7 linked regions of the Oryctolagus cuniculus genome follow. The protein of the gene in region 2 interacts with the protein of the main gene of each other region in a pairwise test. Links are inferred from orthologs where the notes say so. Each region holds a gene or a part of one and is shown on either strand. Other genes may lie near its edges.

Region 1 (2,936 bases), on a different chromosome or scaffold from region 2:
ACTCAAAGCTGCACCTAGACAGGAGAGGAATGGAACGGAAGATGGAGGCAGGTGTCTGTCCCCCATCAGGAGGCGGCGGCGAGCAGTGTGTGGGCAGAGCAGCTCTGCACCCCAGCCCCCTCTGGGACTTACAGCAGGATGGGCTGGTCCGACGTGATGACGTTCCCGTTCATGTGAAGGTTGCACTTCATTGGCTGCCCTGCAAAACCCAAGAAAGAAAAGGCTGTGCTCTGGGTCTCAGCTCCCCACACCAAGGACAGGGCTGCCAGACACGAAGGAGCTCCCAGGAGACACCCTCAGCAAGGACGGCGCCAGGAAGCAGAGTGGCAACACATCCTGCTTCTCAGCCAGTGGGAGACGGCAGCGGTGCCCTGCTCGCCTGTGAAGCCAGCAGTAAGAGAGCAGGTACAGGCGGAGCTGAGTGAGGACAGGCTGCCACGTTCAGACTTCTCTCCGTGAGGGGGGCCTGCTCAGGGCCTCACCCCCGGGATGAGAGATGTGATACACGTCACAGGAACAGCATAAGAGGGGAGCGGAGGAGCAGAGTCGGGGCCCTGTTGTGGCACAGCGAGCGAAGGCCGCTCCCTCATCGTACCGTCCAGACACCGGTTGTTGTACTTCTTATATGCGGTGATAGCATCGTCCTTCTTCACAAAGACCACCTCTGCGACCCCAGGATGGACCAGCCGAGCCCGCTTGAGGGCTCCACACACACAGAAAAGCTCCTGTAAGCAACAAGAGGGGATGGGGTCGGGAGGTCATTCCTGACGGCCTGTCACTCGCACCCTCAACACAGGACTGGCTGAGGGGCAAGTCGCACTAGCAGGGGAGGGCGGTCCGGGTGTCCGTGTCACCACCTCCTCCAGAGCGTCACAGTCACAGCCTTTCTCCCAGAGCTGTCACGGGAGAGGGCAGGCAGGCTCACACAACAGTCAGTGCGTCACCTGAGTCTGGGGTTCTACCCAGCACGACCACAGTCTTGTGCGGCCAGAGATCTCCCAGGACAAGGAAGCTGACGCAGGGATGAATGAGGCCGACCAGCACTCAGGTCACCTCTTCACCTGCGACTGCCTACTCCAGGCTGTCATCAGGACCAGCGCGGCTCCCGCAGGTCCTTGAACAACTTGTTTTTAACCAAAGGAAACACGTTTATATCAAGACTGAAATGTCAGGTGTGAGCCGTTTTCCTGCTGTTACCTCACCGACGCCTGACTGGGTAGAGCAGGAGGCAGAGCGAGTGCTCCTGGCACGTTCCCGAGTGGGGGTGCTTCCAGGCGCTCAGTTTCTCGCCACGAAGCATTTTCCAAGACCCTGTACGCCACGTGCCTGGCTAGTACTTCTGCAATCGGGAACGTGTTTAATTTTCTATCATTTGTCGAGCATCAGGCAAGCAGGCGAGCTTTCCCTTCCCGCACGGACTGTTCACCGCACCGCCAGAGCAGGGGAGCCCAGGCAGCTCGGCGCCAACTTCACGGTGAAGACCACTGACCACCGTGGTGCGCAGCAGGGCCCGTTCCAGAGCCAGCCAGCCAGCTGCATGGCCAGCTGCAGTCCTTTCGTGATCTCACAGTTCAAAGTGCGCCTGGATGGCTAAACGAGTGGTTTTGGGGGTGTCTGCATGCGAACGAGCTTTCAAAGGAAGCTTTCATTCACCAGGCACCTGCCAGGTTCTGCCGTGACTGCAACAACAGGACAGGCAAGACAGAAGGGCAATTCAAAGGGGTCAATCGGCAGGTCCTACCCAACCCTCTTACTCCTTTTACATGATGGTGTCATCAAGGAAACCCCCGAAGAGGCAGGAAGTTCGAGTCTCAAGAGAGGCATCAAGCACTAGGTGCTGCCCAGCAGAACTGAAGGGCCCACTGAGGACCCACCAGACAGACGTCCCCTGTCCCGGACACCCCGCCAGGAAACCGGCCCGGGCGTGGACACTGCACAGGAGTGACCAGAGCCAGCCTGCCTGCTTCCAAGAACTGGGTCAACAGTCCAGCTTCTGGCGAACACCTGCCTTCCTTCTGGGAGGCGGGACTGTCACAGGCTGGCTGCTGGGGGAGCAGCTACGCCGAGGACTCGGGGGCTTGCGCCTGGTCTCCCCCAGCAACACCCACAGCCTTCCTCGTGCTGAGTGGTAAGTCTCAGCTGTGACACAACTACGTGCCGAGTCCTGGGAGACCCAGCAAACCCTGAAACCTGGGCTGGCCCCGGGACCTCTGTCCTAGAACTGATGGGAGCCTAGACACTGGCAGGCCGTGGTACTTACGACGATGTCCTCCTCGGTGACTCGGGGGTGCAGGTTGTTGACCGTCATCTTGGTGCCTTCCAAAGGGCTAAGCACAGGCTGCCACACAGACGACAGGGTCAGCAGAAGCCAGAGCAGGCGGCCTCTCACACAGCAGCACTCGGACTGCGCCCTGAGACCCCGGCACCCCTCACACGCCCACCACCCTGGGCCCTGGCCTCTGGCAGGAATGCTCCTCTGGCCTCCAGACCCTGCACTCACACTGGCTTCCCCCTCCCCCTCCCCCTGCCCCTCCCCAGGCGCTGCGGCGGGAGGAAGCGCTCTCTCCTGGGAACCCCTGTGCTAACAGAGCCGGCGGCTCCTCCCTGCTGGCCCCGCTAGCCCGCAAGCTCTTTTAGGGCAGGGCCCAGGTCTTGAGAATGCGAGGAGCCTGGGCTCACACGGCACACTGACCCAGCACAGGCTCTCGGGTGGGGTGGCCACCTTCAGCTCACCTCAGCAGGCGGCAGCTCTTTGGGGGGCTCCTCCTTGTTCACCAGCGTGCGGGACACGCTGGTCAAGGCTTTGGTTCGCACAGAGGAGGGGAGAGCGGGGGCGGTATATGCGTCATTCTGCACCACTTTGGTGAGAGGGAGGGCCTTGGACACCGAGAACTTGGAACTGCTCAGCCCAGCCTAGACAAACGGGCAGAAAGGAA
Region 2 (4,043 bases):
AGCTCTCTGCTGTGGCCTGGGAGTGCAGTGGAGGATGGCCCAAGTGCTTGGGCCCTGCACCCCATGGGAGACCAGGAGAAGCACCTGGCTCCTGCCTTCGGATAGGCGCAGTGCGCCGGCCGTGGTGGCCATTGGAGGGTAAACCAACGGCAAGGGAAGACCTTTCTCTCTGTCTCTCTCTCACTGTCCACTCTGCCTGTCAAAACAAAACAAAACAAAAAGAATCCCAGCATCCTATACCCTCTCCCTATACAAGGCCTTGAGTCCCTGTGCTGTCCCCTGATCCAGGCCAAACGCCTTCCTGACATGAGTAACAACGCCCTGACCCCCCCCCCCCCCCAAGGCTCCTCTTCCAAGTACTGGCACGAATCTCATTTCTCTCTGGGCCCCAGACCACTGCTCCCTGGTCTGCACAGGGCCACCAGGCAGAGATGAAGGGATCGGAAGCCTGCACAGGGCCACCTGGCAGTGGAGGCCCAGACCCAGACCTGCAGCCCCACGGAGACCAGGACTCAGGTTAGGCAAGAAGCCCTCTCTCCCAGCACCTGGCCCAGGTCCCCAGTCTCCTGGGACAGGTGGCCTCGTTACAGGGCAGTTTGGGCAGCGACAACCTCAAGGACACCACCAGCAACTCAGACAATAATTAGGGAACAAAGAGCCAAGGCCAAGCAGCGCCCCACCTCCCCCTATTGGGCCTCAGTTTCTCCCAGACAGAGAGGCGGCAAGGGTGGAGCTGGCCAAACAGGCAGTCCACAGCTCTCAGGGCACACACACCTGCCTCCTGGAGGTGATGCAGGCACTTGCTTGTTTCTATGACAACCCCTACCCTCTCCATACCCAGTCAGGGTGTGACATGGGGCCTAAAGGAGCCTTCATGGGCGCTGCCCGACTCCAACCTCTATCAGAAGCTTCCAGCTTCCGCCATCTCCAGAGAAACCCCGATGGAGGCGGAAGCCCCACCATCACTTCTGGCAGCTGCTCCAAGACCTCACCACCTCCCCGGGCTCTGCTCCTTCCTGGAAGGGGAGAGCAAGCCTCCCTGGGGAACTCCCTCCGGTCCCGAGGCCGCAGAGCACCAGGGCTCTGGCATCTGCCGAAATCATCATGCAGAACGTGCAGGCCAAGGAGGCGGACAGAAAACTTCCTGGGAGTAGGAATGTGTGCGTGTACAGGTCTTCATGGCCGCCTTTATGCCCAGGGGCAGCAGAGTGAGCACTGCGTGCCAGGAATAATGCGTGTGAAAACATGAGTGTGTGTTTGGACATGTTCAATACATACACCCGTCTAGGTGTGAACTAACGTGTGAACCTCACACGTATGCGTGTGTAATTAAGGGTCACCATGCAAGTACGCAGGAGTAGTAAATGCACAGGTAACAGGTGAGTGTGCTGAGATGCTGAAGAGGAACCCAGGACATGGGTTCCCCCCCGCGAACTCCTGTGTGTGCACAGCAGGCCGGCCAGAGCCGGGTTACCCACAGAGAAGGCTCTGAGGGCAGGCATGTCGGGCACCGGGGAGTGCGAGGGAACCCGCCAGTTTTCACTCTGGAGTGTGGGGAGAGGGGGAACCACCTTTGTCCGAGCTGTTCCCCTTCTTTCTTGCTTGTGTTCCATCGAGTTCATCCCTTTCCTCTCTACCCAAGTGAAAAGACACCAAGAACCAGGTCGGTGTCAGTCCAGACTGCCGGAGGAGCTGCTGGGAGCAATGGTGGGCCTGGCTGCAGGGCTGGGGCCTGACAGCACCCCAAGCTCCAGCCCTGGGCAACGCGGGCACCCGGGAGCCTCCTCCTCCCTCTGCAGGGCCACGTAAGGCACGGACAGGACGGGGGAAGGGGCTGCTAAGGGGGCCATGCGGGCTGGCATTTCTGTCCGCATTTCTCCTCTTCAGGGAGCACAGAGAAAAGTGAAAACTGAAGGAAGGCGATGGGCCCACTCGGAGAAAGAGCCAAAGGCCGAGACAAAGGCTCAGGGAGGCGCGGGGGTCAGGCGGCCAAGGAAGCCAGGCAGGCCGGCCCATGGCGCCAGGCCCCGGAACCGCAAGAGGCCAAGGCCCCCCAGACCCAGAGCGACGAAAGCCGGCCAGCCAGGCCCAGCCAGTAGGACTCCCGCTCTCAGAGCCCGACTGAGAAGGAGGGGCAAGCCGAGGCTCCATTTTGAGAAATGCGCCGTGGCTGTGGGCAAAGGGAACCCCTCGCTCTCCCGAGTAATCGCCGCGGTGGGCAGGACGGAGGGCTGAGGGCTGGGGCTCAGCCAGGGCCAGCGACGGCTCTGGCCGCGCTCCGAGCTCGCGCAGACCTGTTTTGGGGGCTGAGGAGTTCGGGAAAGTCGCCCTCCCACCTCAACTCCAAGAACAGTCACGCAGGCTCAAGTCTGGGATCCGAGTTCCCATTCCGAGGCAGGAAGCCGGGACCCCTCCCCCCGCCCACCCCCACTCAGCCGACGACCCCCCCCCCCCACCAGCACGGCGGCCGCCGAACGCCGCCTCCCCTCCCGACGCCGCCGCACAGAAGTTGGGGGCGACCCCGGGTCTCCTCCCGGCCCCGGCCTCCCCCTCACCTCCGCCGCGCTGCTCCATGCTCAGCCCCGGGCCGCCCCAAGCGCTCCACAGGCGCGCCGCCCGGCTCCGGCCCGCGCGCGGCCACTCGGAGCGGCCCGACCCGGCCGGGCCCCGCCTCCGCCTCGGCGGCGCACCCGGCCCGGGCCAGTCCCCTCCCGGCCCGAGTGGGCGGCGCGGCGCGGGGCGGCGCGGGGGAGGGGTCCGAGGGGCGTCCCCGCCCCGGGGCGCGGACACGCGCAGGCACCCCACGTCACGCGTGTCTGCTGGGGCGCACGCAGGGGCTGCGCGGCGGCGAGCGGGACCCCTCCCGCCGAGTCTCGGTGACTGCGTGTCGGACGGCTCGGTCGGCTGTGGATTCGGCGGGCGGGTCACCCCCTACCAGAGCCGGGCCCCGGGGCCAGCGGCAGCTGGTCATTGTTCGAGCACAAAGGGCCAAGGCGCGGCGCGGCGGCCCCTCCCCCTCGCTTCTCTAATCGAAGCCCGCCCCAGACACTCTCCAGCTTCAGAGTCCAGAGCGGGAAGCCGAGGGTCAGCTGCCCGCCGCTCCTCGGCTGCCGGGGCCCTGCGCCCCAGCACTAGTCGGGGGCCGCGGCCAGGTCCCTGCCTGGCCCACCCCACAGCGGGCTGGAGGCGGTACACGAGGATCTGCGGAGGCGGCGCCACCTGGCGGTCGGTTCTCAGAGCACATCTACTCGCCCCCCGACCCAGGGGGGTCTTCTCCCACTCCACAGCCCGTGCCCGTGGACGCCAGCCCAGGCCTGCCCTTGGCGCGGCTCTGGACTCCCCAACTTTCCCTTGGAGTCGCTGGCTAAGAGAAGGGTCATTGCCCGGGGAAGGGCGGCTTCTGGCCTCCCCAGTGGAAAGGCACAGCCCAAGCCTACACCAGCTTCCCACCAGACAACATTCCACGGTCTCCTCAGGGTCACGCATATGCTCACCCTCTTGGAAACAACATCTTAACACCCACACGACCTTTCCCACATTCAGTCTCGGGCAGCCGCAATCGCAGAGCTTCATCCGTCACGTGGTCCCCCAGGCCTCCTTCCATGCACTCCCAGGCCAGCTCCCGCGCAGCCCCGCGTCACACCGGTTGTGCATTAAGTCTTTCACAACAACTCGCAGGCCCTCGCACCTCCCAGCATCTTTCACATGCTGACAGCCTCGCAGTACTCACAAACAGCTTCTCATACTGCACACCGTGTTTTGCATGCACTCTATCACACAGACCTTTCCTTAGGGGTCTCTGTGACCTGGCCAGGTCAGCTGATGCCCGCTGGCCTTGGCGAGGACGGCCTCCCTCGCCCAGACGGCAGCCCTCCCCCGCAGGGCCAAGGCCAGCCAGAGCTGGGCTCTGCCCCAGGAAGGAGCATCCCCCCCTTCCAGGCCACAGCCCTGGCCGGCGCTCAGCTCTATTTTTAGCTCGATGGGTTGTTTTTCTTTCTTTTTCCCTGGAAAGGGAAACATAGCCCAGCCAACCTCAGGCTCAC
Region 3 (4,273 bases), on a different chromosome or scaffold from region 2:
GTGCCAGTTCAAGTCCTGGCTGCTCCACTTCCAATCTAGCTCTCTGATATGGCCTCAGAAAACAGTAGAAGATGGCCCAAGTCCCTGGGCCCCTGAACCCACGTGGGAGACCTGGAGGAAGCTCCTGGCTCCTGGCTTCGGATCTGTGCAGCTCTGGCTGTTGTGGCCAATTGGGGAGTGAACCAGAGGATGGAAGACTTCTCTCTTTCTCTTTCTCTTTCTCTTTCTCTTTCTCTTTCTCTTTCTCTTTCTCTTTCTCTTTCTCTTTCTCTTTCTCTTTCTCTTTCTCTTTCTTTCTGCCTCTCCTCCTCTCTCTGTATAACTCTGACTTTCAAATAAAGAAATAAATCTTTAAAAAAATAATTCAAGGGCTATAGACAGATTTGTCAACAAAACTAATGTAACACAACAGGTGATATAAGGAAAGCCAGTGAGGGTGAGTGAGAAGGAGAGAACAGAGGAAAAAATGATATATATGTGTGTGGGGATTTCAGGGGTTAAAATTATAGATGTCAGTTGAGAAAGACATTTTAAGAAAGATGAATTAGTGGATAGCATCAGATACAAATGAGTGGACAAGGGAAAAATAAGATGCAGAGTGATTATTCAATTGTTCAAAGTAGAGGTTATTAGTGGTGTGATGGGTTAGGGAAAATCTTGGTTGCTGTGTCCAATAAGCTGAGCTATGATATGCAAAAGTGAGTTATAATATTACTCTTAAAGTACTATGGGGTCTCATAATATCTGTTGAAAAGTAGAGGAGAATTGAGTGTATTTTAAGATGGAGAGAGGTGATGAAGACTTTAAAGATATAGGAACCCCGATGTTGTTCAGCAAGTGGTTTTGTCATAAGGGATGGTTTCAAATGTGGCCCTCACTACTACTCAGCACAACTCATTTTAGTTTTATTTATCTCTTCTGTTTCCAATGACATTCTATGTGTTTCCAACTTTCCTTACCTCTTACCCTCTGTAGAAGCTTTTACCTTAGAGTTCACCAGGAAAACTGAGAATGCCAGCTAAGATTCTGCTGCTTTTTACCTGGAAATGTGGAGGTAGGAGAATGGACAACCTTCACAAATGAGGTAATAGGAGTAGAAGCATCTTAGAGGAAGATGCGTTTCAGTGAAGTTCCCAGAGTAACAAAACTGATTAATACCAAGAGGATGGTGATAAGTATGTATAAGTAAGCATGCTTTTATCATGTCAGGAAGGATTCTCAAGACTGAGTGAAAGACTTGTAAGGAAGTTCAGTCATGAGCAAATAAGACTCAGGAGATAACCAGAGACTATGAGCATAACGATACTAGAAGGAATAAAATTATCACCATGAATTTCTTTGTGGCATTGGATAGGAAGCCCACTGGAGAAAGCACACATTTGATGAAGTAAAGAATTCCAGTTGTGAATTAGAGGTAGATACCATGGAGTTTGGGGTGAGAGGAGATGGAGGAAAGGAGAGGAAGAAGCCTTTGAAGTCCTAGCCATTAGCAGATGTTGATTTGTAAGTTTAAAGAAAAAAATAAAACATAATAGCATTTTAAGGCAGAAATGAGTTTTTAGACAGGAAAACTATCTAAAGGTCTAAGAAGGCATACAATACTGATTATCCACTACATGAATGACAGACAGAGGTATGGGAGTATCCACAGTGTATTATTAAACTGAAAAAAGAAAAGGTATTTGAATAAACAGGTGTGTGTGTAAGGAAAACACAGGAAGACACCCAAGTGTTAGAGATGCTCTCTAGAAGTGGCACATCTGGGGATTTCTGAGACAGATCTATGTTTAGTGAGTGCTGATGTTTATACAATTATGGGGCCTCCTTTACAAGAAAAAGATACAAGTTTATGGATGTAACTTAATTATAAGGGTAATTATTTATTTAGGGGAGCCCAAGTTCAATTATCTCCACAGTAAATCCTTCTCTATATGATTTTTATATTTTGTCTGTATTTATGTATACATATTTCATACAATGAACATGGTTACCTTAGAAAGAACTAATGGCATTTTAAAGAGAAGGAGTAAGTAATTGTTAATGTCAGCCATGCTCTCAAATAAACTCTCATCAGATGTTTTGTAAAGATCATGAAAAATGGTTTCTAACTGGGAGAATTACAGAGCTTAAGAGTTCATTTTGTCATTTTTGATACATTTCTAGAAAGATGCATTTTGTATCCACAAAATTTCTTCCTCAAGCTTCCCCTTGAATTTTATTTGCTTACATAAAACCACCATAGACAAATACCCCGAAACAAGAGGAAATTCAAACAACTCCTTTAATCAGTAAAGCTTTTTTTTTTCTTTCAAAACAAAACAGAAACAATGACTCCAAAAAAGCATGGACATGAGTTGTGCTGGTTTGGGTAACCCAATTTAAATGGATTTGCTTAAATTTGGTCACCCCGTCCGAAAGAGTTGTCACTGCGTGGAGCATTTTTTTTCCTATGGCCTTTGTGGCCACAGCTGCCTGCCATGGCAGACTGGAAAGCTTCTTCTGCCAGAGGCTTTCTTTGGCAACAGGAAGTGACTGTTGAGAGGAGTTTTATTCTGCTTCACTTGATCCTCTCCGTCGTCAAGGAAGTACATGAATGACTGTAAATGATGTGGGGACTGTCCCCGTAAGTTCCTGGTGAACAGATGGCTGCAGAACATATCACACAAAATACACAGGCCGGGTTTCCTTACCTTGGGAGAACATGGGTTTCTGTGATGAGGCGTGGCCTCTGGGGTGACCCCTTTTGGATCAGGAGCACTTCTCTCAATCAGGTCCCGGATTTCATTGTCCAGCTCCATGCTTTCACATCTGTCCAGGAGAATGGGAAAGTTACAGTTTACAAAGGCAATGAAAAATCATTCCAGGGTACAGCAACTTTATGAATAACATGGAGGTGTTATTCATGCAGGATCCTTCTCTAGAATCTCCCAAACTCAGACCACAATTTGTTTCATTTAGCCCATACCATAAAAGCACTCACTGGCACAAAGTGAAAAACAGACAACAATAGAGATTTTCACAGCTGGATAACCATGACAAGCCAGTATTGCTGAATTTCCTTTCATTTTGTCCCCCTCATCTTGAACTCTTAGTCTGAAAGTATTGTCTCTATAATCATCTGTTACAATTTAGCAAGGAGGCCGCCTCAAATATTTTAGTATTAGTGTCTAGTTCAAAGAGTCATTTCTAAATTTTTATAATTTCACTTGCTTGGGCTCCTGAACCCACATGAGAGACTCGGAGGAAGCTCCTGGCTCCTGGCTTTGGATCGGCTCAGCACCAGCCATTGTGGCCATTTGAGGAGTGAACCAGTAGATGCAGGACCTCTCACTCTCTCTGTAACTCTTACAAATAAATAAGTAAATCTTGAAAAGAAAAGAGGGCCAGCACCATGGCACAGTGGGTTAATCCTTTGCCTGCGGCACCAGCTTTCCATAAGGGCACCGGTTCTAGTCCCAGTTGCTCCTCTTCCAATCCAGCTCTCTGCTATGGCCTGGGAAGGCAGTAGAAGATGGCTCAATGCTTGGGCCCCTGCACCTGCATGAGCGAACAGGAAGAAGCACCTGGCTCCTGGCTTCGGATCGGCACAGCTGCAGCCATTGCAGTCATTTGGGGAGTGAACCAACGGACGGAAGACCTTTCTCTCTGTCTCTCCCTCTCACTGTCTGTAACTCTACCTCTCAAATAAATAAATAAAACCTTTAAAAAAAGAAAATAAAATGTGCTTTCTCCTTTAAAATAAATAAATAAATGTGGTTCCATGATGAGTTTTAACTCAAAACACCTAACCATTAAGTTACATGTGTTTCTAAAATGTATGCAAAACCCCTCAAGCCCATAAGACTGATGAAACTGTAGCATAAATCTTTAAGCAAGGAACACTAATAGCAGCAGCTTCAGAATGGGCACTTGATCTCTATTGCTACTGCTCTCCTGGCTGTCTTGTTCTTCTCTACCTGAATTATGAGTGAATGTGTTCTTCCTTACGCAATAACTCACTGAGTATCCGTTATTACAAGGCACTGAATTTGCACAGCAATAACCACGTGCAGTGATGATTCTGGTTTACTTCAGTGGGGAATGTGTATAGAGGCCAAGAGTTACTCTTGCCTTTTCATTTGGACAAGTGCTGATGTTTAACCTCAGAACTGCTCCCTCTGTACCATTAGGGGAATGGTTCAGCAGGCATCCCCCTGAGGTGCAACCCAAGGGGGAAGAGACATTATAGGGGTTGTGGGCTCCTGCATTTGGTACAGAGTGAAGCTCGGTGTAG
Region 4 (4,300 bases), on a different chromosome or scaffold from region 2:
TGGGCCCTTTGCTTTAAGGGCAGGGGTGAGGCCCTGACCTGGCAAGCACTAAGAGAGCCCTGCAGGGAGAAAGCGGTGAAGACCTGCACTGGCTGACCGTGCTCAGTCTCACAAACTCCTCTCACCTGTCCACTTGAGAAGGCGTCCTAACCTGAGGCTCAAGGAGTCTGACATTGCGGGCTTTCACAGCAAGCGGAAGGCAGCCAAGGGGAGGCAGGGGGAAGAAGTGAGGCCCTCGTCCTTCTGGCCAGCTTGGGGGGGGGGGACACTGGGCTGTGGTTCCAGGGAGCTCTGAGACTCTGCCTGCTGCACGTTGCCAAACTGAGTGGGAACTTAGAACTTGCACAGTGGCCAAGGAGATAGGTTTTTCCCTATTGCGTTCAGGAGGCATCCAATTCTGGATGCTTCCAGCTTTTTCCCTTTCTTCCAACTGTTCCTGATTGTTTCGGTACAGAGAGGGTTCTGGAGCCCTTGGGAGCAGACAGGCAGGAGATAGGAGTAGACCTCCAGTGCCCTGGTCTCATCCCCAACAGGTGAAGAATCCAACCTTCCCCACTTTGCAGGGCCAAAACCAAGCCTGCCACAGGCCAACGTTCACGAGTGGCCAGACTTGTCCCAACCACTCAGGATCTCTTTCCCTGTACGCCCAGGGCTCCTGGCCCAAATACAGACTTCTCCATACTAACCACTCCAAACACTGCAGCAATTGTTTCTTCCCCCATTTTGAAAACTACAGAAACCTCACATCTTGAGCTCCTTTTGAGGAAGTGGGTGCCACTGGATCTTAGGGGTGAACCAAGGGCTGTGGCATCGATTCACCGCTAAGCCTACTCTGATGCCTTGGTGGTAGCCAGTGCAGCTGTGGGTGCTGGTCCCAGATCCCCGCCAGTACCACAGACTGCAGCTGGAGCTGCCACAAGACACCCCCCCACCACCATGCCCAGAAGAGTCCGGATTTTCTTTCTTTCTGTGTGTGCAGAGGGTGAAGGAGATTAAAGTAACCAAGTTCTCTTGCTAACCCAACAGCTCCTGAAGCCTGATGTGGGTTTCAATGTGGCCAGGGAGAGAAGTTTAGAGCAGGAGGTGTTCCCAGCCCACTGGCTGCTCCCACCGCCCTCCGAGGTCAGTGCCTTTGTGGTGGTGAGGTAGAGCTGACCATGATCTGAGGTGGGGGGAGGGGGTCCCGGCTCCTCTCTAAGGGCCGGTGAGCTCTCCCTGCTCCTCCTGCCTGGGGGGGGGGGGGTGGGCAGCAGAGCTGTTCCCTGAGTTCCTTCCAGGGCGCTGTGCGTGCTGCGCCTATGCTGGGGGCTCTAAGTCTTGCAGGGAGCAGAAGACGGGATGGCTGGGCATGGGGGAGACTTGACCCCTTCGTGAAGAGGCCTCTCTGGACTTGGAGCCCAGTGCTGCAGATTCTGGGGAAAGGGAGGAGCTGCAGCCCTAGAAGGGCCGTGTGGAGGGCAGCTCCTAGCACACTGTCCCCGGACTTCCTCCAAAGGCCCGGGAGCAGCCCTCTCACCCGGGACCCGGCCTGTCTTTGTGCTTCTGTTTATCCTGGGAGGCACAGCCCTGTTCCAGGCGCGGCCACCTCCATGGTATGCGGGGTATGCGGACTGCGCGGTGCCCCAGTCTGCGGGAAGAGGAGGTGACACACGGAGGAAAACGGGGGTTTCCTGCCTGCCACCGTCACCACGGCACACTCGGGAGCACAGCATGCCACGTCTCTTTCGCATGTCTGTAAGAATCCACCATCATGACAAGGTGCTTAGCCACTCCCAGTCCCAGTCGCTGTCCTAAAGGATTCTTCATGGGCAGATTTCTGCAGATTTCTAATTTCTCAGAGCCCTCACAACACCCCCAGGCCCGGTGCCCACTCTTTGGGACCCGTGAGTCCCGGCAACCAGGTTGAGTTCCTTTCCCTGCCTCGCAACAACAGGCCCGGCTACATAAATGCACAGGCAGCGCCTCTGTGAGCCTGGATTTCCAGTTAAGATGGCGGCGCCTGGCACCCCGTCACACCCTGATAAAGGCTCTGCCAGGAAGGAGGCCACCGGAGCCCCTCCCAGTCCGAGGGGAAGGAAAGCTAAGGCCCCGTGTCGCCCTAAAAATCCAAAGCAAAATATTTCCCCCAAGCATTCTTCTCTCCTCTCTCTGAGCAGATTCTGCACCGTGGGGACCTGGGGGCTGGCTCCCTCTGGGCCCAGAGTTCCAGCCAATTTCCACATTCTATCGGGAAAGAGCGATCCCCACCTCCCGTCTCCCAGGCTACACTCGCTTGGATCCGGGGTTGTGAGCGAAAGGACCGGGCGGAGAGGGCCTGAGGTTGGGCGGAGCACTCAGCACCGGCCTCTAGGGAGCTACAGTAGCGGGCGGACGGAGAGGAGGCGACTCCCTTCCCCCGTGCACACCTTCGCTTGAACAGTCGGGGCCCGCGACGCGCAGGCGGCCAAGAAGGCCAAGGCGGGCGCCACCCGCGCAGCTCAGTCGGCCTGGAGCTCAAGGTTAGGCTGGTGACCCCAGGTAGCCCACGGCCGCCACGGCCGTTCCGTCCTCAAAGGCGAGGCCACGAGGCTGCCCGGCTTGGAGAGGGGCGGGTCACAGCTCGGATCTGCGTGGTCGCGGCCCGCAGCGGGGAGGGGAAGGGCGGGGAGCGCCTCACCTACCTCTGCCAACCGCGCGTCCTCCGCGCTTCTTCACAGCCTGCAGGAACCCAGGCGCCTGGAGACGGAGGTGGCGGCGCCCGGGGCGAGGGGCGTGGGGGCTCGAAGTCGCCGCTCCTCCCGCCCCTGCCCCTTTGAGGCCTCTTGGGGCAGTGTCTGCGTCTAGGGCGGCGCCGCCGACGGCGCTGGGGGCGCGAAGGGGCTCACGCGTCCTGCGTCCCCCTGGCGCCGGCGCGGGGAGGGGGCGAGGACAGGGCCTGGGCGGCGGATTGGCGCGGCCGCTTCGGTCCTCCGCGTCGGCCCGGGCGGGGCTCCCCGCCACCTCACCTGCCCCCGCCCCGGGCGCCGTCGGATCACCGCGCCGGAGGGCGGGCAGGCGATTCCGAGGGTGGGCCTTGCGCGCTTGGGCAAGGCCAGAGCCGAGGAGGAACGCGCCGAGGTGGGCGGGAGAGAGAAGGGTGTGTGTGTGTGTGTGTGTGTGTGAGAGAGAGAGAGAGAGAGAGAGAGAGAAAGAGAGAGAGAGAGATGAGAAGCAGAACCACGGAACGCGGAGCCAGGAGAACCGTCCAATGCAGAAATAGACAAAAGAAGCCGGGGAGCCAGCAGAGTCTGGGGCACCGGTACAAGCCCCTGGCGGGCGTCTGAGGCGAGCGACAAGTTGTCCTTGGGAGTTGGGAATGCGAGAGGGAGGGGCGAGGCCAGAGGAACCTGAGAAGGGGAGGGAGGGGAACCAGGAGGCCGAGAGCGCGGGACCCTCCTCCGTCCCTCCCCACCCCCCCCTCAGGCTGCAGCCCCGCGGCTTCCCGCCCTCCACGGCGGCTCCCTGCTGGGGACCATTCCTGGCCGGAGGACGGCCCCAGGCTGCAGACTGCCCATCTACCTGCCTTCTCTCTTCATTTCCCTGAGCCCGAAACGGGGTTCTTCCCTATGGAACGAACCGGACCAAGGAGGCCAGAGGGAACGACCTTGGTCAAGGTCAAAAGAAGGCTAGGAGGTTCCACTTTCCACCTCGGCCCTGGGGCCTCTTTGCGTGTTGGCCCTTCGAGTTCCTGGAGTGGAATCCACATCGCCGGCTCTTCCCTCTCTTTCTCCTGAGACCCGAACCGAGGTGCCAGCGCACCTACAATCGTGCAGCTGTGACAGGTAGCCGGAGTCCCAGCAACAGGACTTCCCGCTGGCCAGGAGCTACCCGCCTGCCCCACCTCTGTAGCGTGGACCTGGGGGCCTGCTCAGAATCCGGTGCCTTCCTGCAAGAGATTGTCCCCAGCGGGTAGCATTGAGATCTGTGCTCTGGGCCTGGTTCCGCCTCGAGCTCACTGTGGACCCTGGCCTCCACACCTTCTGCCCTTTAGGTCTGGGGTTTTTGTTGTTTTCCTCTGTAGAATGGGAGCAGACTGAGGGATCTATGCTTGGCTTCTGTAACATCCTCCCTTTTGTAAGTTCTGCTGAGTTTGAGCCGCTAGAGAAAGGTCTCTCCATGTGAATACAGAAATAGGAGAAAATCAAATTTTGCTTCTGTGAGTGAGTCTGTTTTACACCTTTTAAGTATACTTATTTGTTTACTTATTTTTTAAAGGATTTATTTATTTGAAAGAGCTACACAGAGAGAGAGGGAGAGAGGTCCTCCATCTGCTGGTTCACTC
Region 5 (3,934 bases), on a different chromosome or scaffold from region 2:
GTGCCCAGTGACCATTAGCTATCACCAGCTCACTCCTGGGCTTAGCATCTCAGTCTCCGCGATTGGTTTACCTTCCTAGGGACGTGGCATGAGACATTTACTTGGGGATTCATTCTGGCTTCTGCCCCCTCAGAAAGCCACTTAGTTTTCCTACCTGTAAAATGGGGAGGGGAGAGAGGCTACTCATCCTAGTTTTTCAGGATCAGAAGAGAAATTTCCCTTTTAGGCACAGATTGGGGGGGGTGGCGGGAACATGACCCAGTAGGAAGCCAACTTCCCAAGATCTACCCCCTTCCCCTAGGGCCCGGTCACTGCAGACTCACGCGGATCTTCTTGTAATCACACAGGTACTCGACTTCAAAATCATAGAGGTTCCTCTTAGAGATGCCAAGGGCAGGACAGGAGAGCTTGGCCAGGCGGCACAGGTCCTGCAGTTGATTCCAAGAAGACTTGCAACACACACTGCAGCCTGGAACGACAAGGCGGAAAGAATCATTACTGGGCAGCCTGACCTGGCCAGGGGCTCCAAATCCTCTCTGGGCTACCCCAGACGTAGTGAAATTGACCCCACAGGTCTTCCCCAAAGTGGAAAATTCTGCAACAGCCACTCCAGGGAACCTCAGTGCTTACTGCCCAAGGCTACCCCTGGGGCAGTGAACTTCAAAGTGCCGCCAAGTGCCATTTGCTATAGGGATTGGCCTAAAGGAATCTTCCCAGACCTTCAGACTCCCTCTACACCAGTCCTAAAACAACCTAGGTTCTGGATCACCTTTCTTTCCACTTTGCAAAAGAAAGGGACAACCCCCCCCATCTCAGTAGGGTGCATTGCCCAGGGAGGGGGTGGGGAGGGGAGGGGATTAAAACCTCCAGGGCACCAAACAAAGGCATAACTGGAAAGACTGGTCCTCAACCCCTTATCTGAAGCTCCTGGGCTGGATGAGTTTTAGAATTCAGCATTTTTTTGGATTTTAGAAGTGTAGCTCTAGGTATGTCCTGTCCATGTGCAAACACTCCCAGCCTGGACAGGCACATCAAGCCATAATCAAGTGCACTGATCGCTCTGTAGCAAAAGTGCAAAGGTTCACATTAAGTAGTTGAAATAAAGATGTAAGATAAGGTAACCTCACTGGACAGTCCGACCTTATAATCAATCTCCTTTTGCCATGAATGGTGCCAAATTTAAGAAAAAGCTTTCAGCACTCAGATTTTGGAATGATGACTACAGGACTGTGGAATGATACTATGTTACAGGAAGCTTCCTTGAATGGTTAGTCTGGGGACTTTAAACCTACAAAGTTTGTTTCTTCCACACTGCATTCTGACTTTCTGTCTCAATCACATTTCTGTGAAAGGTGAAACCGCTCTGAAGTCAGCAACAGGCAAAGCAATATAGGTTAGTGACATCCATTCTTTGAAACATACCTGGAATCTTTCTGGGGCTACCAAGATCATTCAAGACGGATTTTTAAAAACAATGTATCCTTCTTTCTGATGCAAGGCACCTTCTTAATTAATATGCTTTAGAAGCCATTTTATCAAAGCATGTCACAGAGCACTTCAACTCCACGTCCCCACTTCGTCTTTCAAAACTGTCTAATATTTGCTACCTGCCTGCCATTACAAAACTCCAGCCTATTTAAACTTATGACGAAATAGCCTAGATGTCAATCTAGAAATGTACAAGAGCTTTTCGTAATTATTCCGTGGGCTCCCCCCACCCCCTAGGCAAGGCCTAGTGGAGACTCTAAGCCTGGGCCCACGCTTTCCTCTCCTTGCGATGCAATCCCCTCGCATACACGTGAAATCCGCCCCCCCTCCAACCCTCGCAAGTGGTCCCTGTTAACACCTCCTGCCACGGGCTCAGGCGCGGACCACAACTGGGCTCTCCTGCCTCGCAGAGGTCCCCCTCCCACTTGTGGAACGCACACTCCTCGCAGCTGTCCGCACATAGAGGAGCTCCCCCAACATGGTCACCCCGCTTTCCTTGCACATGGGGGAGTCCGGCTCTCCCAAGAGGGAAGCTCCTATTCCCCTCAGCTGGAGGAACCCTCTCTCTTGAAGAGCCCCCTTGGGGGTCCGTCCCCGCTTCTTTTCCCTCCCCTTCCGGCGTCTCGCGTGGACACCGTAGGGGTAACGGTCACCGGGGGCCGGTTTTCCCGCGCGCGGGCGAGGCCTCCCCGACAAGCCCCTGCGCGTGCGCGCGCCGCTCCGGTCGTGATCTGCAACGCGCGCGCCCCTCTCCCGCGTCCCCACTTAGCCCCGCGGCCACCGCGTTCCGAGGAGCGCGCCCCCTCCCCTCAGCCCCGCCCAGCCCCGCGCACCAGGCCCGCGCTCCCCGAGCCCCTTCCTTTCTGCGCCGGGTTTCCGGCTCCGGGCTCCGTGGCCTTGGACGCCAGGACCCCGAGCCCGCGACGCCACCCCTCCAGCCCACCCGGCCCGGCCAGCGAACCCGCGCCTCTGCCGCCACTGCTTCACCTTTTAAATTTTCCGCCATCTTTCCCCACGGCTAACGACATTCGGGCCTAGCCGGCCTCGCGAGAAGAGAGCTCGCGCGGGCGTGGCCGGGAACGCGCAGCCTATTGGCCGCGCCTCCCCGCGAGCAGCACCGGCGAGGACCAACCGGCGAGCCGTGACCGGACCCCTCCCCGCCACCCGGCTCGGTCCCGGAGGCGGGTGCTCGCCGCGCTTTCCCAGAGTGCGTCTGGGCGGCGGCGGCGGCGGCGGTAGCGGTAGCTGAGGGTGCCCGAGGCCCTGCCCGTTCGCCGGTCTGTCTGTCACGCTGGTAGCCAATCACGTTGTCAGCCAGTCGTACGGGGGATTCTCCGTCCTGTCAGACCCCCAATTACCTCCGTCAGTCAGTCCGTCACCACATTTTAACCCCAAGCAGGCCGTGACCCAGCGTGGAGCAGCGCCACGGACAGCTGCCCAGTCAGTTGTCCTATTCAAATAGGCGATGGGTCAGTCTCCCCAGGCAGGTGTCTCGCCAGGCCCCGCCTCCTTCACATGCTCTGTCAGTCAATGGCAGCATCCATTTGTGCCTTGGGCCAGCTGCGACTCCCTGGAGGCAGGCACCCAGCTGTTAGCGAGGCTGCCCTTCCCGCAGACGGTCCCCGCAATGCAATGGCGCGGGCCAGTCAAGCAGCCCTTGCCCAGGGACCAGCTCCTAGGTAGATCCTCTCATCAGCTCCAGCATCCAGCCTTGGCCTCAGGCAGGCAGGCAGGCAGGCTGTGATTAGGTCAGGACAAGCTGCCGTTGGTTACACCCCACGCACACCACCCAGCTAGGCCCCAGAGCAGAGCCATAGCAACTAGAGGGACAATTATGTTTCCATGCCACCTGTCATTGGCTCAGCCAGCCTGGCCTTTCCCCGGCGACTCATCTCAGCCTCAGGCAACGGACCATGGGTCCTTCAAACCTGTCACTGCCCTCTGCTTCTCTGGACCCCTGGGAGAGGCTGGCATCCTGTTAGGGCGCACGGTCCATAACCACATAGAACCATCGAGGCAAGCAGCTATGTCGGTCTTGCTGCTGGCCAGCTGCCCTGTGACCCATTCCACCTGCCTCTCATCGTAGTCAGTAGCCCACTGATCTCAGCATCTAGAGGGTGACAGGTCAGCCAGCAGAGCATGGAGCCAGGCCCTTGAGTGTGCCGTGATTCAGTGGAGGTGGACCGTTGGTGGCAGATCTGGTATCTCCATTCCCTCAGGCCAGGCCTGATTCCTGTGGCTCCTCTCCCTCTTAGTCCCCGTGTTACATAGTGCACCAAACAGTCATGCAGTTAATTCAACAGATATTCCATCTGCCTACCAGGCCAGCTGTGAGCTGGCTGGAACATGGCTAACCTGTCTGGCATTCTACCCTGCCTGCCACGAATTCAACAGTCAAGGGCTTAGCTAAGTCCTACCTCAGTCCCCTAGCCCTATTCTAGAACAG
Region 6 (4,112 bases), on a different chromosome or scaffold from region 2:
GAGAAACTTGATTAATACTCTTGAGTGTTTGTCACCAGACCCAAGTACCAGAACAGATTTAATCTATGCTGCACATTAGTCTCCAGCACACCGTCTCACAAAGAATCAGATGCTTGATAAAGATATGTGGATATTACTGCTCCTGTCATCACACGCTCTGATCACCACCGTTTGTCTCTGTTTAGCAGTGCTGTGACCACTTGGGGTAGCCAATCTCGCCCGGTTAAATGAGAGGCTAAGAGTCAGCATGGAATTTAGAGTACTCCGGGAGACAAACGCCCAGTAAGAGGCTGCCACTTAGAAGAGCAGCTCTTGGTTCCTGTCTGGGACTGAGAGAGTAGTCAGTTCTTTCCAAAGACACAAGCCAGGGCAGGCGTGCAGGACCAGACACACTCCGCAGAGCCCAGCGCAAAATAAAAATGCAGCTCCCTGTTGGAATGAATTAGAGAATTTCAAGATGGTATCATCTGAGTCATGAACCCAGGGCAGGACTGTGTCACTGCACAGGTTGCACACCCCTGAGGCTGGCACCTACAGTTAACCAAGAAAATCTAAACATTAGCTTGCGATTTGCTGTTAGAAAACGAAGGCGGGAGTTTTGTTGTATTAATGGGGGGGGGGGGCTAATTATCCTGCTGTACTTCCTTCTCTTACACACAGAGGCTGTGTCTTGACAGGAAACCGCCCCTCTGTACCCGTATCCAGTGGGCCTGTCCCTGTGTCTCCAGATTTCCTAAGTGTGGATATGAAGGAAAATCCCAACTCCACCAATTGCAGTTTAGCGACATAGCAAATCCCTTAGCCTCCCTAAAACTTCGGTTTCCTCACCTAAAAAGCAGAGGTGATACTACCCACCCCAGACAGTAAGTAGCTGTGGTACTGATGCTTCAATAAGGCAAGAACATGTGCCAATGCACAGCGCGCCCCGGAGCAGGTGTCCACGCAGGGTCAGAGCTGAGCCGGGGAACCCCGCTCAGCCCCTGCGCCGTCACTGAACCCTATAAATAGCTCCGCTAAGTCACCATCTCGCTCGCTCACTCACTCCGAGGCGAGGGCTGAGCCGGCTGCTGCAGGTGGTCCCTCCTGCTCGCATCATTGATGGCTTTTCTATTCATGGGCGTCTGCCTCTGAATTGCCTGCCATCCCAGCGGAAGAGACACCCCCCGGCCGGAGCCAGCGCGCGCCCAGCCTCGGCGCAGAGTCCCGGGGTGGGGGGGTGCGCCCCGCCTGCCCTCGCCACTCCCGCGGTGGCCGCGCGGCCCCGCCCCGGAGCCGCCCCCTGCCGCCCCCTCCCTGGGCGGGCGAGCCCCAGGCCGCTCGCCCGCCCGCCCGCCCGCCGCTGGCTGGGTGGCAGTCACGACAGAGCGCGGTCGCCGGCGAGGTGGGCGCGGGCGCGGCGGGGAGCGCGGGAGCGCCCAGGACGTGGGCAGGGCCCCGGGCGGGGGCGCGGCCGGAGGAGGGCACGTCGGCGCCTCGGCGAGGATGGGAGTCCCCGGCACCCGCGGCTGAGCGAGCGGGCGGGCGCGCGGCGGGCAGTGCGCACGAGGAGGGCGAGCCTGCTGTTCCCCCGGGAGCCCAACACCGTTCCCGCGCGGCCACGATGATCCCTCCGAGCGGCGCCCGCGAGGACGGCGTGGACGGGCTGCCCAAGGAGCCGGCGAGCGCCCAGCAGCCGCCCTCTCCCGCGTCCACCAGCAGCCAGGAATCCAAGGTACCGCGCACACTTGCCCCGAAAGAACCCAAACTCACTCTCCCCTCCCTCTCCCCAGCCACCTTAGCCTCCTCCGACCCGGCGCGGGCGTCCGGGCTCAGACAGGTCCCTAGTTGGGCCGGGGCTGCAGGACCTGAGACCTGCACAGGGCTCCCTGTGAACCACCCCGGACCGCATCCCCGGGGCCCCCAGCCTCCTGGCGCGCGCAGACCGGAGCCGAGCACACGCAGCAGCTCCCGTTGACTCCGGGTGCACAGATCCATTTCTTGGGGGTTTCGGGGGATTCTGTGCTTTGAACCTGCTTGTAGCCAAAGCGTGTGTAGGTGGGTGTTAGGCGGTGGCTCCTGGAGGCTAAGGGGTGGAGACGGCCGAGGGTACTGGGCCAGCCAAGGGTGTCGGAATCCCAAGGGGCTCGGAACAGGACTCATCCCTAACATCCCTAACTTTCGTTGCTGCTGGTTTCAAAAAAAAAAAAAAAAAAAAAAAAAAAACTAGGCAGAAGGAAGTAGTGCGTTCTCGAGAAAGTTGATGTTCCTTGTGGAAGTTGATAGGACTCCAAGAACTCACCCTTGCACGGCAGTGAAGGCTAACACATGCGCACGACACCAACCCTGCCGCAGTCCTTCTCTGTCACTATTCTGCTTCCTCTGAAGCTCGCTGGGTGCCAGGCACATGTTTGGAAATCTTGGAAGAGGATCAAGTAAAATGTGGCTGCTCGCGGTGTGGTGCCGAATGACAACTCAGCCTGGAGTGGAAATCGTAAGATGGAGCTGGCCGGTTACGGGCAGCGTCGGGAGTGCCGGGCTGCTGGCCGGGGGAGGACAGGTTGCTCTGCACTGTGAGGCAGTCTCCGAGGAGCAGAAAAGGCAAGGTGGATGGCAGTGTAGAGCGCAGGTCACTAGGGGCAAGGAAAGGCCAGCGGTGTCTCCAGGTCCTGCAGCCTCAGTGGCTCTGCGAGGCCGTGTGATGCTGACTTGGTTCCCTGCATCCCCTGAAGTTACTCAGCCACAGTAAGCCGACTCGGAAAGCATTGCATTTTTTTAAATTTCTTCTTTTTCTGGCTATTACTGGCTGTCTGACTCCAGGACATGTGTATGTCAGATTTCCCCAAACTCAGTTGCAAATGAGGACAGAAGCCCCCAGCTTCCAGAATCCTCGTGAGGAACAGGTGAGATGAGCCCGTGTCCATCCATCAGTGTGTATCCTTTTCCTTCTGATGCCAGGAGATGCAATCCACTCCAAAGCAGTGGCACCACCCTCACGGGCACACCCTTTCTTGCTTCTGGAAGTTTCTAGGTGTCTCAGTGTCTACCGTGGAGCACCCGTCAGTCCCTGAAGTGATGTGAGTTGTAGTGGCCATTGCAAAGGTGGTCTGCAAAGAACTCAAGGGTGAAAGTGGTGTTAGACTTTTTGAACTGGGACTGTCGCTCAGCAGTAGGTGTGTTCTGAAAAGGGCTTAGCATTTGGGTAGCAGCGGCATGGTTCAGACACCCCGCATGAGTCTGCTATTTATAGATGTCCTGAGGTACAGTATTTGGCAAAGCAAACGCCTCCTATGTAATGCCCATAATGAGCCACCAGTTTATCCGAATTGTGGTGTTGGATATGCGCAGGCCAGTGTTTTCTCCACGTGGTCTACACAACTCCTGTATAGTTTACACATTCCTAAATTTGCTGTCATGGCTTTGATATTAGTGTAGATGAGCTACGGGGGGCACATGAGCCCCAGGAAATGGAATGCAAAATCGTGCGCCTGGATGTGAATTTTTCTTGGCTGAGCATTCAAGATATTCTCAGAGGGAGCCATGCCTCTCGAGAGAGGCTTACATGCTGTGTGGCAGAAGGTGCAGGGTGGTATGCAACAGGGGGCAGAGGAAGGCTCTATTCGTTCTGTGCGAGGAAGGCCATGTTTTGAAGCTTGGTGGCATTTATGAAGATCCAGGTGAGGAAATGTGAACAAGAGAGTGGTCATCATTCCAGCCTCCTCTCCTGGCAAATGGCCATGTTTGTCAAAGTACATACCCTTCAAGATAACCGCAAGTGAATTCTGAATGTGTCACCACAAAAAATGGCAAGTGAGTGATGGGATGGCTATGTTAATTAGCCCAAATTATTTAATCATTCTACATTGTACACCTATATCAAAACATAAATGTGATTTAATTATGATTTGCCAGTTAAAGGGACAGGCATCATTCACGCCCTACTGGGCATTAAACTTTCTCAATGTTTTTTAATTTCTTACTTTCTTTAGAAATTTTTCCTTGTGTAGATAACACTTTGTAGATATTTGAAAAGTCCAGATGACAATGAAAAAATTATAGCGTTTTGATATAGAACTCATGTATGTTTTCCTCCACACTTACGTTTACATAGTTGGGAGAACCACAGTGAGCACCTG
Region 7 (3,306 bases), on a different chromosome or scaffold from region 2:
GAGGTGGCGGTGCCGGCCGGCTTCGCGGGCTACGTCCTGGCGGCCGAGAAGGCAGACGGGCGGCCGGGGTCCGGGGACGCGGAGCGGGCGCCGCTGGAGCGGGACTTGGTGAGCCACGGCGGGCCCGGGGCGGGCGCGGCGGCGGGGCCGGGCTGAGCCGCCTCCCTCCCTCCCTCCCCAGGACCGCTTTCTGGGCGCCACCGCCAGCTTCGGCCGCTTCACGCTGTGGGGCCTGGAGACCGTGCCGGGCCCGGACGCCAAAGTGCGCGGGGCCCTGACTTGGCCGAGCCTCGCGGCCGCGGTGAGTGCACGGGCGGGGTCGCTGCGGCGCGGGGCCCCCCACGCCGGACGGGGTCAGTGGGGGCGGCCGGGCCCCCGCACGGTTACAGGCGGCTCCTCTTGCAGATTCACGCTCAGGTGGCGGAGGACTGAGAGCCGGAGCCCGTCCCCACCTGCCGACCAGTACGCCCCGCACCGCAGCTGTGCAGAACCCTGGAGGCTCCGCCTACGGAAACGATTTATTGCCTGGTGCGGGGGCCGCAGCCAGGGCCACCCCACCCCCACCTTCTACTTTACAAAAGCCATTTTTACAGTGAAAGTGTCCTGTACAGTTGCCCCCAGCCCCTGCGCACTGCACAAGCCGCCCGGCTCCTCCTGGTCCCTGGTCAGGGCAGGCCGGGCCCGCAGCCAGCTCAGCCTGGGCGCTGACCCGAGCCCTCGGCGGGCCTGGGCACTGACCCGTGGCCCCTGCGGGCCCAGCCCCGTCTGGCGCTGCCCTGCGCGCCTCGCGCGCTGTGCCTGCTGGGGGCGCCGGGTCCCGTGCTCGCCGGCCCCGCGCCCGGAGGCCCGGTCACCACTTCCCCCGCTTGCTCCAGTCCTTGGGGGTGAAGTGCAGACACTTGGAGTCGATGCGCAGCAGCCGCTTCAGCATTGCCCGCTCGTGTCCGTCCACGATGTCCTCGGACAGCGTGAGGATGTACTGGCCCTGGGCGAGAGAGGGCCCGGCAGGGGTCAGCGCCCGGCCCGCACCGGCTTCCCGACTGCCCGGCCCTGGCCGCCCGCCCCACCTTGTAGTAGTTGATGAGGTTGAGGTACTGCAGCGTGGAGATGACGTCCTCCTTCTTGATGCTGGTGATCTCGCTGATCTCACTGCGGGAGGGCAAAGGTCAGGTCTCCCGCGGCCCGGGGCGGGGACAGCCACGCACCCCCGGGGGCGGCCGGCTCACTTGATGGTGATCTGCGGCCGCTCCCCACTCTCGGACTTGAGCCCCATCAGGATCTCCAGGATGGTCTGGGACCAGTAACTGCGATAGGACAGCAGGCCCAGGTCCGACAGGGGCTTCTCTGGGGTCCCCGTTCTCCCTTCCACCTTGGAGAGCTCATAGCCTGGAGCAGGGGAGCAGGAGAGGTGGGTAAGCGGTCAGACAGTGGCATCGCAGCGGGCACATCCTGCAGCAGGGGGCCGGGCCGGACGCCCACTGCTCCACCCGCTAACCTGCAGCCTGGCAGTGCAGGCGGACCAGGGACCTGGGGCCCTGCCGCCCAGTGGGGCCCTGCGGAGCTCCAGGCTGCTGGCTTCAGCCTGGCCCGGCCCTGCCTGCTGTGGGCAACTGGGGAGTGAACCCCTGACCAGACCTGTCTCTGCCTTTCAAATAAAATGAAAAGCATTTAAGAATTAGAGCCACGTGGCTTCTCTGCCCACCACCTGAAGGCGCTCGCCCTTGGCCTGGGTGCTGGGGGGGGCACCTGCAGTCAGCCGAGGCTGGGGGGGTGCCCATGTCCTTGGCCGTTGCTGTGTGGGTGCAGAGGGAGGCAGGGCAGACCCCGCCCTCTGTCCGTCACATTCTGGCTGGGACCTCGGGCTCGCCAGCTGCTCTGGGATGGAGCGGGCTGCGTGGTGGTGAGGAAGGAGCTTCACCAAGCGCTTCCCAGCTGGAGAGAGGCCTCCCTGCCCCTGCCCTCCTCCAGCTGACCACGAGAAGTTAGCTCCTCGCAAGCCCCTTTGGCCCCACCAGACCCCGAGGGGCAAGGCCCTGGGCCGGTCGCGCTTGTCTGCTCTCCTGCCCCTGCTGCACACTGGCCAGTCCCAGCGTCCACCCTGACCTGCTGTGCCTGCAAGGACCACGGAGGGGGTGGGCACCCTTGGGTTCCTGCTCAGCTGTGCGGGTTCATGCCACAGCCGTGGGCAGCAGCAGGTCAGCCAGATCTGGGAGAGTGGGCTGAGGTTTGGGGCCCTGGCCAAGATGGGGTGGGAGCAGTCACCCTGGAGTGTGAGACCTCGGCGAACCCCAGCTTGGTTCCTGGCCGACCCCCTTGGCTGAGCTGCACAGTGGGGGACAGCCGTGGGCGTGTGGCCTGAGGCACCAGCGGCAGTGCACGGGCCCTGGGCGGGGCGGCCACATACTCACTGAACTCAATCAGCAGCTTGCCGTAGCCCCGGCGCTGGTACGGGGGCAGGGTGAGGATGCAGGCCACGTTGTAGTCTTCCGTGGACTCCTTTTCCTGCAGGAGGGGTGGGCGAGCGTGAGGGCAGGGTCTGCGCCCACCCCAGGGCCCCCCGGGGACAGCGGGCAGGCGCTGACCTTGGAGAAGTAGCCCACGATGTGGAAGCCCTTGCAGTCGTACTCCGTCATGACGTAGAAGAGGAAGGGGTCTGTGTCGTAGTACAGCGTCTTGTGGTCCAGGAAGCACTTGGCCAGCAGACACAGGTTCTGGGAGTAACTCTGCGGGGGGAGAGGGAGAGCCCGTTCCCACTGGTGGTGCCACCCGAGAGGGCCCCTGGGCCAGGCCAGCGGGTGGGGTCGTCCCTGCCTGGGGCCCGCGCGCTGTGACAGCGTCCAGCTACCTCCCTGGGGACGGAGGGTCTGCCCCGCTGCCCGCCCCTTCTCCGTCTCAGCAGGGCCCGGGGCGGCTCCCTGGCCCTGCTGTGCTGGACACCAGCGTACAGTTTGGAACGCAGGAAGTGTCTCCGGCCAGGACACGAGGGAGCCCCTGTGTGGCAGTGCTGGGAGTCGCTGTCAGCAGACCCAGCTCTCCACTCACCCCACGGCTGCACCTGCCGCTCCCCGAGGGAGGGCGGGGCTCTGCCTCTTCACCGAGGACCAGCAGGGCCCCCACCCTCAGGGGACTGCCTCTGCACACAACTCCTGGAGAAACCTCACCCCTGGCTCCTCACCTGCGCACTGCCACGCGGGTGCCCAGTCCACACTTCACGCGGAGGGGTGCGTAGGCAGCTGCCGCCTCTCAAACTCCCTGCACGCAGGCCAGGGCCGCCCCCCCTCGCGCTCCAGTCTCAAGTTAGCCTTA

Evidence for each region.
Region 1: the proteins of LZTS2 (region 2) and POLDIP3 interact in a two-hybrid assay, tested with the Homo sapiens proteins (2 studies listed by BioGRID). The two-hybrid records come from large-scale screens. The link is inferred for Oryctolagus cuniculus from reciprocal best matches to the Homo sapiens genes LZTS2 and POLDIP3.
Region 3: the proteins of LZTS2 (region 2) and TNIP3 interact in binary tests that used the Homo sapiens proteins (3 or more experiments, as listed by UniProt). The two-hybrid records come from large-scale screens. The link is inferred for Oryctolagus cuniculus from reciprocal best matches to the Homo sapiens genes LZTS2 and TNIP3.
Region 4: the proteins of LZTS2 (region 2) and HOXB9 interact in binary tests that used the Homo sapiens proteins (3 or more experiments, as listed by UniProt). The two-hybrid records come from large-scale screens. The link is inferred for Oryctolagus cuniculus from reciprocal best matches to the Homo sapiens genes LZTS2 and HOXB9.
Region 5: the proteins of LZTS2 (region 2) and SUV39H1 interact in binary tests that used the Homo sapiens proteins (3 or more experiments, as listed by UniProt). The two-hybrid records come from large-scale screens. The link is inferred for Oryctolagus cuniculus from reciprocal best matches to the Homo sapiens genes LZTS2 and SUV39H1.
Region 6: the proteins of LZTS2 (region 2) and STAC interact in binary tests that used the Homo sapiens proteins (3 or more experiments, as listed by UniProt). The two-hybrid records come from large-scale screens. The link is inferred for Oryctolagus cuniculus from reciprocal best matches to the Homo sapiens genes LZTS2 and STAC.
Region 7: the proteins of LZTS2 (region 2) and KAT5 interact in binary tests that used the Homo sapiens proteins (3 or more experiments, as listed by UniProt). The two-hybrid records come from large-scale screens. The link is inferred for Oryctolagus cuniculus from reciprocal best matches to the Homo sapiens genes LZTS2 and KAT5.

Annotation. Positions count from the first base shown.
Region 1 is NC_091442.1:118,371,710-118,374,645, forward strand, and holds part of POLDIP3 (polymerase delta-interacting protein 3), read right to left. Parts: intron 2,914-2,936; coding exon 2,734-2,913; intron 2,339-2,733; coding exon 2,261-2,338; intron 726-2,260; coding exon 596-725; intron 200-595; coding exon 133-199; intron 1-132. UniProt on the Homo sapiens protein: Is involved in regulation of translation. Is preferentially associated with CBC-bound spliced mRNA-protein complexes during the pioneer round of mRNA translation. Contributes to enhanced translational efficiency of spliced over nonspliced mRNAs.
Region 2 is NC_091446.1:28,872,964-28,877,006, forward strand, and holds the start of LZTS2 (leucine zipper putative tumor suppressor 2), read right to left. Parts: upstream 2,801-4,043; 5' UTR 2,556-2,800; intron 2,418-2,555; exon of another isoform or gene 1,693-2,417; 5' UTR 1,623-1,692; coding exon 1,572-1,622; intron 1-1,571. UniProt on the Homo sapiens protein: Negative regulator of katanin-mediated microtubule severing and release from the centrosome. Required for central spindle formation and the completion of cytokinesis.
Region 3 is NC_091439.1:44,137,664-44,141,936, reverse strand, and holds the start of TNIP3 (TNFAIP3-interacting protein 3), read right to left. Parts: upstream 2,801-4,273; 5' UTR 2,799-2,800; coding exon 2,691-2,798; intron 1-2,690. UniProt on the Homo sapiens protein: Binds to zinc finger protein TNFAIP3 and inhibits NF-kappa-B activation induced by tumor necrosis factor, Toll-like receptor 4 (TLR4), interleukin-1 and 12-O-tetradecanoylphorbol-13-acetate.
Region 4 is NC_091448.1:24,915,318-24,919,617, forward strand, and holds the start of HOXB9 (homeobox protein Hox-B9), read right to left. Parts: upstream 2,801-4,300; 5' UTR 2,661-2,800; intron 2,499-2,660; exon of another isoform or gene 1,272-2,498; intron 1-1,271. UniProt on the Homo sapiens protein: Sequence-specific transcription factor which is part of a developmental regulatory system that provides cells with specific positional identities on the anterior-posterior axis.
Region 5 is NC_091453.1:33,884,486-33,888,419, reverse strand, and holds the start of SUV39H1 (histone-lysine N-methyltransferase SUV39H1), read right to left. Parts: upstream 2,801-3,934; 5' UTR 2,495-2,800; coding exon 2,476-2,494; intron 470-2,475; coding exon 324-469; intron 1-323. UniProt on the Homo sapiens protein: Histone methyltransferase that specifically trimethylates 'Lys-9' of histone H3 using monomethylated H3 'Lys-9' as substrate. Also weakly methylates histone H1 (in vitro).
Region 6 is NC_091435.1:172,772,036-172,776,147, forward strand, and holds the start of STAC (SH3 and cysteine-rich domain-containing protein), read left to right. Parts: upstream 1-1,312; 5' UTR 1,313-1,600; coding exon 1,601-1,711; intron 1,712-2,278; exon of another isoform or gene 2,279-3,093; intron 3,094-4,112. UniProt on the Homo sapiens protein: Promotes expression of the ion channel CACNA1H at the cell membrane, and thereby contributes to the regulation of channel activity.
Region 7 is NC_091432.1:6,000,398-6,003,703, forward strand, and holds the end of KAT5 (histone acetyltransferase KAT5), read right to left. Parts: intron 2,724-3,306; coding exon 2,583-2,723; intron 2,503-2,582; coding exon 2,409-2,502; intron 1,681-2,408; exon of another isoform or gene 1,387-1,680; coding exon 1,227-1,386; exon of another isoform or gene 1,150-1,226; coding exon 693-1,149; 3' UTR 501-692; downstream 1-500. Other genes in the region: RNASEH2C (ribonuclease H2 subunit C), read left to right, coding at 1-108, 182-301, 406-432. UniProt on the Homo sapiens protein: Catalytic subunit of the NuA4 histone acetyltransferase complex, a multiprotein complex involved in transcriptional activation of select genes principally by acetylation of nucleosomal histones H2A and H4.